Linked DNA regions of Schizosaccharomyces pombe. Each later gene encodes a partner of the first gene's protein in a complex. Each region holds a gene or a part of one and is shown on either strand. Other genes may lie near its edges.

Evidence for each region.
Region 2: atg17 (region 1) and atg1 share a complex: the UniProt entries of both Schizosaccharomyces pombe proteins name them as parts of the atg1 kinase complex.

What each region holds. Positions count from the first base shown.
Region 1 is NC_003424.3:1,225,441-1,230,628, reverse strand, and holds atg17 (autophagy-associated protein kinase activator Atg17), read left to right. Parts: upstream 1-1,807; 5' UTR 1,808-1,977; coding exon 1,978-3,213; 3' UTR 3,214-3,349; downstream 3,350-5,188. Other genes in the region: protein-S isoprenylcysteine O-methyltransferase Mam4, read left to right, coding at 559-1,269; rio1 (RIO family protein kinase), read right to left, coding at 3,350-4,590, 4,693-4,818, 4,904-5,030. UniProt on the Schizosaccharomyces pombe protein: Autophagy-specific protein that functions in response to autophagy-inducing signals as a scaffold to recruit other ATG proteins to organize preautophagosomal structure (PAS) formation.
Region 2 is NC_003421.2:849,138-854,576, reverse strand, and holds atg1 (autophagy serine/threonine protein kinase Atg1), read left to right. Parts: upstream 1-1,894; 5' UTR 1,895-1,972; coding exon 1,973-2,074; intron 2,075-2,136; coding exon 2,137-4,527; 3' UTR 4,528-4,744; downstream 4,745-5,439. Other genes in the region: thg1 (tRNA guanylyltransferase), read right to left, coding at 4,948-5,091, 5,145-5,249, 5,346-5,439. UniProt on the Schizosaccharomyces pombe protein: Serine/threonine protein kinase involved in the cytoplasm to vacuole transport (Cvt) and found to be essential in autophagy, where it is required for the formation of autophagosomes.

The DNA.
Region 1 (5,188 bases):
TCTGTTCAACTCATACACCGGGACTTCTCCTTTGTGAGTTAGACATCAGTATTTGGCTCATTATTTGCAAAACAAGTTGATATCAGTTTGTAATCGGATATGTTTAGACAAAACTGAGAAAGAGTTCTTTTTTAATAATTCATAACTTGCAAATTGATTAATGACAGAGTATTTGAATTCTTTGTTATATCGAGGTTTACTACATTAATATAATACAACTTTTAGCAACTATTAGAGCCAATACAAAGAAAAGAAGTCAAAACTTAAGTAATACAATATGAGTATGATTTTCTTTGTTTTACTTCCCTATTGTGTCAACTATAATTTTAAGCAGGAAATTTTGAAAATATCCTAATAACTCGAAAACCAGGCTAAAGCAAGGAATATCCCTCTTTGCATAAATTTTATTTCTTCTCGTGTCTTTCCTCCAATAATTAATAATTATAACATCTCTAAATGTGTATGAGTTAGTTTGTTAGGACATTTTGACTCAATAATTCTTCTCGATAAATTTAATAAAGAAAGTTGAATTCACATACCTGAATTTAATATACAATCATGGGGAATTTACATACGTCAATAGCTGTAGCATCTATTTGCTTAACCAGCGCCTTTCTTGGTTGTGTTTTTGGTTTGGGATTTTTCGTATGGATTATATACGGATATAGTATTGGAGGTTTTTTTGCATTTCTGAGTCTTTTTCATCTATTAGAGTTTTACATTACTGCTCGTTTTCAAGGTAGTCAGTTATCATGGGATTCTTTCATATTGAATAATGGCAAAGCCTACTGGTTAGCGATGTTAGTCGGCCTTTTAGAATGCTTATTAAGTGGCGGAAAAAGTTTTGCTAAGGTAATAAATTGCTTAAGATTTCCGAGCTTCTTAATCAACTTTATATTTTCGGTATATCAGACATCTGCTCTGGGATTTCTTTGTTTGGGACAATATCTACGATCCTCTGCAATGGTACAAGCCGGTCAATCTTTTTCTCACATTGTAGCTAGTAAAAGAAATAAAGATCATTTGCTTGTCACTGATGGGATTTATGCTTACGTTAGACACCCATCATACGTTGGGTTTTTTATCTGGGCTTTGGGCACTCAAATGTTGTTAGGAAATTTTGTCTCAACATTACTATTTTCTCTAGTTCTTTGGAAATTTTTCTCACAGCGAATTACTACCGAAGAAGCTTACTTAGTTAGTTTTTTTGGTGATTCTTACGAACAATATCGAAAGAAGGTCCCATCTGGAATTCCCTTAATTCCATAGGTTCACTATTATTGTTATTTGAATAGTTGATAAAAGCATACTTAAATAATTTGTATCATCATCAAAGCAGCTTTTAAAGGTCTGACTATACAAATCTCATAACAAATTATTTTTATAGCCTTTTTCTCCTTCAAGGCTAATAGATATCAATTGTCCAAATAACAGCGCTTTGTCTTGCAGAATTTTAAAGATGTTTTCGTAGCTCCGCTAAACATCGAAGTGCCATTAATATGATCAGCTAATCTGAAATTTTCTCTTAAAAAATAATAGTCTGTTTACTTTTGAACCACAATAATTCTGAAAAGATTTACTGCTTAATCATTACTATTCATAGCTATAGTACTCTTAACAAACATTTCTTCTTCTTAGTTTTCGTTTATGGTTTTAACTATATTATAATTATCGCTTCAGTCAACTTTATGTAAATAAAGAAAAATAGCGAAAAACAACTGCAATATTGTGCAATTTATTTGCTGTAGTTCGCAAGCTCTCATTAATATGTGCTACATGCGCTCACTTGCTATATTTCAATTTCGCCGCAAGCATACAACTCTGCTTCACAATCAATTCCTTTGTATTAAAGGTCCTTTTGAAAAGTTTGTTGGCCGATATATATATAAATATATATCTATCCTTATATATCTATATAGTTTCTTTTCCAGTGGAGTGCATACAAGAGGAATACAGTTTTACCGCGTGAGTGCGGTGATGGAATTGTTGCAGCAGTGGACTCAGCAAGCCAAAGCAGCTCTTACTCAAGCCAGGCAACTGTGTGGTGATGCACATAAGTTTAATGAAGATGCAAAAACTGATTTGAGAAATTCCATAAAGCAGCATCAACAGCTAAAAGAGTTGGCGAAGCTCACAGCATCTCAATGTACTCGTTTAGACTCTTCAACAGCTCTTATTAAGCAGTTATTAGATCTAGTTCAAAATTATCCAACATTTAATCAATTAAACGTCCTTCATGATCGATTGGAATCGTCACTTAAACGTCTTCGTGACTGTACATTAGATCCAGCCTTAGGAAGCGAATATACCAATCTTTATGCATTTGTAGATGATACTGCATTAGAAGATTTGAAAACCAGGCTCCGAGGCGTAACTGATGGTGTTTGGAATGCTTTCGAAAAGCTAGCGGGTTTACTGGAAGAAGATTTGTGTGCCAATTATCATAAACGTTTAGAAGCTGTTTCATTAGACTTCTTACCTCCCGCTTATAACGATACTGCCGAAGAACTTGCGGATTTGCTTTTGCAAGTTGCTCAACATTACGATCAATGCTCCGAAGCTCTCAATATTTATGACACCCTTTCTGATGCGGAGAAGAAAGATCTCCAAGAAGTGCTTCAATCAGACTCTAATCATGTTCCTTCGGTATTGACAGAACTTAGGAGTGGATTAGATCAAACAATTCATTATTTCAACGCAGTTCAAAGTTATAAGTCAAAGGTAGATTCGGCAACATCGATTTTGGAAGCCTTGGCTGAGGAGTTAAACAAAAACCAGTTGACTAATCAAAGGCATGAAGCCGCGCATGAGTTAATGAGGGCGCAAACCGGCCTGGAGATTCCGCAATTAGCTCAAGAACTCGTGCAGCTTGAAAGACATTACACACATTTTGCTAAAGCGTATACCGCTCTCCTTCAGGAAATTCACAGACGACAAACCTATGAAAATTGTGTAAGATCCATTGTGGACGAATTTGTGGGACGCCTGGAGAAGGAACAACAGGCGGAGGCGAAATGTCGTATCGATTTTTTCAATCAATATGGTGATTATTTACCCCAGACTCTATGGGGAGCTGTAACAGATCCTCCTTTACATTTTGAAATTATAGAGCACCAATATACAGAATTGCCAAACGTAAAGGTAATTCCTGATAAAAACGATAAGAAATCGAAGCAACGTGAAAAATCTTCTACTACAGCCTCTAAGCGATGACCCTGTTAGCCATATTTTACGATTTTTAAAGTCTATAAACGTATAATGATTTTAGTTATGCTACTAGTTTATGAGTATTGTATAGACTTTTCCAATAAAGATAATTATATAAAATAACCGTAATTTTTTCCCCTGATTACTTTTTTCTTCCAGATTGTTTTAGTTTGCGCTTCTTCTCATACTTCGGAATCTTGGATTTTCTTTTCTCAGCCTTATCTTCTTTGGTTTTTTTTTTCCGTGCCCTCTTCTCCTCCGGTGTCTCCTTTGCACGTCCGTTTCCTTTACCTTGTTTTGCAGATGATTTTGAATCCGAAGTCCGTTCTTCTTCATTTTCCATACTACTTATAGAATTTGCATCATCATCGCTCTCCGAAGTCTCATTTGGGAGGATTTGATCGTTTTGATTTTTTGTAGTGTCATTTAAATCCAATTTTTGAAAGTCTGTATTTAATAAGTGCTTATATACAAGGCTATTAACACCTCCGGCGTTTACGATTTCAGTATCTCGATCAATGTCGTATACCTCATCTAAAGTCCGAGGAACATAAGTTTTTAAGAATTCCTCTTCGTATTCTTCTGTAGTAGGTTCTTCCTCATAAATTGCATTTAACCGGGTTTTCATGGCTTCCTTTTCACAACTTCCTTCTTCAGTAATGAATTTAAATAATTGAGGTAAAGATAAGCAACCAGCATTCAAACGCCTAAAGAATGTAGAAATGTTTAAAATATCCATTCTTAAAAAATCGATGCTCTGCGGGTGGTCATGTTCAACCGATTGTGATACATCAATAAAATAAACTTTACCTTTATGATAAAGTAAATTATATTCTGACAAGTCAGCATGCACGAGATGACAAACATGAAACAAAATACGCATATTCCGTGCTACAAGCTGATATAATTTAGTAGCCTCACCAGGCGTCATATCTATATCCTTTAACTTGGGGTATGCCCATCCTTTCTTGTCCCCCAGAAACGACATAAGCAAAACGTGCTGCTTCAATAAGATTGGCTCTGGGCAAGGAATACCAGCAGCAGCCACACGCTTCAAGTTTCTTATTTCTTTTTCAGCCCATAAGCGTACCATTTTTCGGGGATTGCGCTTGTTATACCCATGACGAAAACGAAATTCTCCAGAAACATAGCGGTCACGATCCTTAAATACTAAGATTGAAGTCTTATAAATTTTTATAGCAAAATGTTTACCATCCTCGTTTGTTGCATGATACACATTTGCTTCCTTTCCCGTGCTTATACAACCATTAATTTCTGATATAGTTCCATTATTTATTAATTTTAATAAAATCATTCGAGTACGGGGATCCAGCACTTGTTCAGATGTAGCGCGGTCACTTTTATCCTTGATAGATGACTTGTCTTTATTTGTCAGTACTATTAAACATGAAAATGTAAAAGTGTGAAGGATCAAAAGACCTCGAGTTCTAAAACCTATGAGCAGTTAAACTATATTACACTTACCCTCTGCCTCAAACCTGTCATTTAATTTTATATTATTCACATAACGACTAAGCGTAGAAACGTGATCATTAACTGAATTGATCTTAGAAGAATTATTCCCAAAATTTTCCTGTCTAGCAGAATAATCTAGTAAAAATGTTATTAATGATCATGAAAAATGGTAACAAAAATTCATGCAAAGTGCTTTTGGCTATTCAGTATATGAACTTACTTGAAGAAGCTTGATTCCAGTCTATATCGTCTTCCCTAAAGTAATCATTGTCAGAGCCATCACTAAAGTCGCTATATTCTGATTCTTCTTCATTTGTCTGTGCATCGTTTTTTAACTCCTCAACCATCTTAAACTTTAAATAAATCAATAAAAGAATAATTTATTTAAAAATTTGACAAAGAACTGGATACAAATCCAAGTTTTTGTATTTTGTAGGTGGTAGTAAAAACTTTTTGTTGTAAATAAAACTGGTATATAAAAATGTAAGAAGTTAGCAAATTATGA
Region 2 (5,439 bases), on another chromosome or scaffold:
AAACAAAAGAAAAATACATATATGTGCTTATATATGAAAAAATAAACCAAAGATGTAATTCTTTGCATATTCTCTTTGTTACTAATTCGACGTAAATAGATTTCCTTTAATAAAATAAAAAGAAAAATTTTACGTATTGCCAGGCCTATCATTAAATCATAATCACCTTAACAACAGCATCCACTGAGAATACTGTTTACAAAAAACCAACGTGAGCAAAAAAAAGATGGCAGATGTGACTATGAAACGAATAAAACTAAAACGGACTATAAATTTCGGTAAAAATGATATTACAAAATATATGTATATATAGTTTTGCTATTCAATCAGTCATATATTTAAAGGTAATTGACTATTACAGTTCGCATATTTAGGAAGATCAAAATATTCATTTATTGAGAAATGTATAACAACGAGTATCTGAGCGGATATCGTGGCACAATTTTAAGTAGAATAGGTTGCTTCGAAACGAACAGTATATTATTTTTGCTTGCTTAAAATTAATTAAACAGTGTACGACTCGGAGCATAAGCATTTTAATTCCATTTATTAATTTTCCAAATTTCCTAGAAAATAATAGATTAAAAAAAAATTCATTAATTTATTTATTGCTACAAAATCAAAATTTTGATTAACTTATTATTTTTACTTTATTTTTTTTTATTTTTTGTTTCAAACTTCATTGCAGTATTATTGGCAACAAGCACTTATATTCAGTTTCAAAACTTTTTTTATTTTATATTCTCGAATTAATTTATTTATTTTATTATCACGCAAATACAAAATTAAACTATTCATGGTGAGAAGGTGAATTTTTTATAACGTTGCTTGTTTTCAGTAGCGTTTTCGCTAATGTTGACTTTAAAGTCTGTTTTAGAAATTTGGATTCCACAACCAATCTCGTATATATCAATAAAGAGAAAAGCAACATATTATGATTGGAAATTTTCTTTTAATTTTCTGCAAGAGAGTTCTTACCTTCCATTATGGTCTTCAAGTCCTCAGGGCATGTTTGAATACTAGTCATTGCCCAATTCCCTGTTTTGTAGTATTATATACATGCGTTTGAGCCAAAACTCACACTGCATAAAAAAAATGATATTCTTTTCTTCAACCATAAATATTATTATTTAACACAACAAATGTCTACGGCCATACCTAGGCGAAAACACCAGTTCCCGTCCGATCACTGCAGTTAAGCGTCTGAGGGCCTCGTTAGTACTATGGTTGGAGACAACATGGGAATCCGGGGTGCTGTAGGCTCCTTCTTTTCTTTTTTTTTTGTCTTTTAAATCCAGTTTACTTTTTTTTTTTATATTATTTCTATATGGCATGAAACTGGTACAGTGGTACAAGTTGTACATCTGCCGCCGGTTTTTTATCCAAATTTACCCTCTATTTACACTTGCATTTTCATCTGCCTCGATCACTCTATCCATGACAATCGCCTTTTCCAACTAATTTGCCTTTTCGCGGGTATCTACGCTTCGTCTGGAGTATTATCTACTTCCGTTCTTATCCTCTAATTCCACACACACTTGCTTTCCGTACTCAAATCGGTAACTGACATGGCAAAAATTAACACATTTATTTCGTCTTAACCCACTTTCGGCATTTTTCAGCTGCACAAAAAGGGAACAATTTCAAAGAATTTAGACACTACCAGCAGGTATATGTGTGTAAAATATTATAATTCATTGAGTTAATACAATTTCCTCTATAAACTCGCATTCTATTCATAGTGCTTACTCCCATAAAACTTGTTATCCCGAAACCATATCTCCTGTTACCTTTTACAGCCGCACCACGATCGCAATTTATTTTAAGGTATTAAAGCCCAGTGCGGAAAGTGCCTTTTACGCAGCTATATTATCAATGGCGACCCGCTATCCTTGCCAACTCCCATGCTATCAAAGTGAGTATAAAGGCAGCTAAAACCCTTACACCTGTCTTATCGTGAACCAGAAGCTGTATGAACTTACAGACGAGTACAAATCAAACAATTGGTCCCTATGTCATTCGATCGGAAATTGGACGTGGATCTTTCGCAATTGTGTATAAAGGAAAGCACACGGTAAGTAAAAGAAGCAACTGCTTGTCTGTTTCAATGGAATTTGGTGGCTAATCGTGTTGCAGGAAACGAATCGAGTGATCTCTATTAAAAGCGTATTGACAAAGAAGCTTACTAAGAAACTTTTGGAGAATTTAGAAAGTGAAATTTCAATCCTTAAAGAGATCCGTCATGTGCATGTTGTGGAACTGATAGACTGTATTAAGGCTGGGCGGTTCATTCACCTGGTCATGGAGTATTGCTCCCTAGGAGATTTGAGTTATTTTATTCGAAAGCGAGAAAAGTTTAACAGTATTCCCTCCTTAGCCTGGATCAACATCGATCATCCGCCAGTTTACAAGGCTGGATTGAATGAGACGTTGGTTCGGCATTTTACCCAACAACTTGCTTCTGCACTCCAATTTTTACGATCGCGTTCTTTAATTCATCGAGATGTCAAACCCCAAAATCTTCTTTTACAACCACCACCCACCGCTGCCTATCTGGAAGAGCATCCCCAGTTTGTGGGAAGTCCCAAGCTACCAATGCTTAAATTAGCAGACTTTGGTTTTGCACGTTACCTTCAAACGTCTAGTATGGCGGAAACTCTATGTGGCTCTCCGTTGTATATGGCGCCCGAAATACTTCGTTACGAGAAATATGATGCTAAAGCCGATTTGTGGTCAGTAGGTGCTGTGTTATACGAAATGGCTGTTGGAAAGCCTCCCTTCAAGGCCCCAAATCATGTCGAACTTCTTAGGAGGATTCAAAAAGCTAAAGATGTCATCAAGTTTCCTGAAGAAGCTTTCATTCACCCGGACATTAAAACCCTTATCTGTGCTTTGCTGAAGCAAAATCCGGCTGATCGTATCGACTACGACGGTTTCTTTTCCAGTATTGTTGTCACTACTCCATTAGATGACGCATCTACTTTGACCGGTAGCGATATTCAAGATGCGGTTAAGGAAATAAACATTCCATCTTCTAGTCCTGCCTACATAACCGATTTTTTCCCAAAAAGTAATCCTGGCGCTCCTGCTCCTCCAGGCGGTTTGTTGCGTCAAGCTTTCCAAGCTCAGGGGTCTAGTATTCAGCCCTCTGAAATTACCGGTCGAAGGGTGCCTCATCGCTATGCACAAGATGGAAACACTTTACCATACACCCCCGTGTTTCCTCCTGAAAGTGCTCCTGCTGCTAGCATTTTCCCTCCTCGATTAACCTCTAAGCAACCTATACCCATGGCATCTCCTGCTAAGTTGACAAGTGATACTTCGAACAAAAGTAGCGCCTATGTCGTAGTGGACCATCATCCCATAATCTCTTCTACCCAACTTTCCAATGAAAGCCTAACCCACGAGCAATCAATCAATGGTAACTCGCCTTCACCAAACGAAGGTGTTTTTCAAGGTAGTTTCTCTCCTGAAAGCGCTCCTGTAAATAATCATGCGTTTCCCCATACTAGCCGGATGCAAATCCCTTACATGAAACCCAATGCTTTCCCTTCTAATCCTACCTACATTGCTTCAACCCCAGTCACTCAACTACGTCGTGCGTTTGAGCAAGCTACAGCACATGTACCTCAATCTGGAGGTGGTGCGCGAAATAAAAGCGCTCTAGAACGAGCACTAAATGTTGCAAACGCTAGGCTTAATGAAGTTGTAGTGGATGGTATGACAGATAATGGAAACACATCCCTTCCTACAAAAGAAAGCAATTTGGATAACAATGTCAACATTATCCAACCTTCCTTACCTGACACCGGTAAAAGATTGCTTGATGTTTTAGAAAGTATAGCGATGAAATCAAACTCTGTCTACCATCTGGCTGAAGTGAAGCTTGCTCAAATTATTCCTTCTTTGTCTGATGAAATGAAGCCTGGAGATACACTCTTGGATAGACCTTTGACTCCTTTTTCATTGGTTATGTTAGCCAAGGAATCGTATGTACTTTATGAGAGAGACATTGAGCTGTTACAAGTGGCGTTTGACGGTGTTGCTGCTTTTTGGGCCAACTCTGAAGAACGTGCATCTCCTGATTGCCAACAAGCCATTGAATGGTTTCGTCAAAGGTATTCAGAAAGTCTTGAGAAATCCCAATTTTTACGTGAAATTATTATTTCTCAAAGTGCCGCACATTCTTTGCCAACTACCAAACCTGTGTCAGCTTCTCAATTAATTTATCATAGAGCATTGGACCTATCCAGAAATGCAGCCACTAGTGAACTGTCAGGAAATGATGCACAGGCTTGTTTACAAAATTACCGGCTTGCAGCACATTTGTTGGAGTCACTTCTTGAGAGTAATTTTTCGACTCCAGACGGTGCTAACGATTCCAATAATTCAGTAACCATAAGAAATTTGATTGCTTTGATAACGAAAAGGCAAGAACTTTTACAATCGAAACAAATCCAGGCTAATGTAGCCAACAAAGTAACAGAAAGTGTTGCGAAAATAACACTTGCCCCCAATCTTGCTTGAACACCGACGATTTCGCCCTTTTATTGAACAAATTCGCATATTGTATGAGCTGAGCTCTGAGTCTAAATTTTGTTATGAATTCGTTGTTATGACCATATTATTTATATAACTTTTTAATATAGACGTTTTTAATTTTGCTTTTTTTATACATAGGGTTGATAGTCCCGTATATTTAACTCTTATTTATTGAGGTTTATCTCTATTCAAATTTCGTGCATATTATTTTTTTTCTCTTAAATTTTTCAAACAAGTAAAACAGCTATTTAACGTATCAAGGCAAGAATCTAGTACTTTTTTGATTTCCAAAACAAAGATTTGTTTTATACGGCCTAGAGCTGATGACTGCATGAGAGAAACAATTAAACGAGTGATAATGTTTTTGTTCAAACGACCCATAATTTACAAATGTGTGAAAGGAAATTATTGTAACAATACCTCAAGAAATGGCCTTGAAGTCCAAAAGTCATCGTCTATCAGACTTACGTGAAGGATAGATAAAACCATTTTCTTCTTTTGTTTTACGGAGAACTTTTTGTCTTGTTGATGCCATTCTTGATCAATAGGCTAAATTAAATAAGTAAGCAAAAATTAATTTAAACAAAGTTTGTCGAGCATACCTCACGAATCCAAATCGAGCCCTTTTTGTATATCTCTGGTTCAAAATTATAGTTGATGCCGAATTTTGAGAACAAAATTTCATGTTTTTCTGCGCTGACGGTACCCTGTAAAGTAATTCACCCAAAAGGTGAAAGTGGTTAGTTTTTATTGAAAGGAAGATAAATCGCTAGGGTTTACATAAAAAAAAATGAGCTACTTACCTTTAGGTACTCCTCGGCTTGAGTGTTTGTGAAACCTCCTTTGAGTATTAACATCCAGAAGGTAGTATTGTAAAGGTTATTAATATGACAGTCT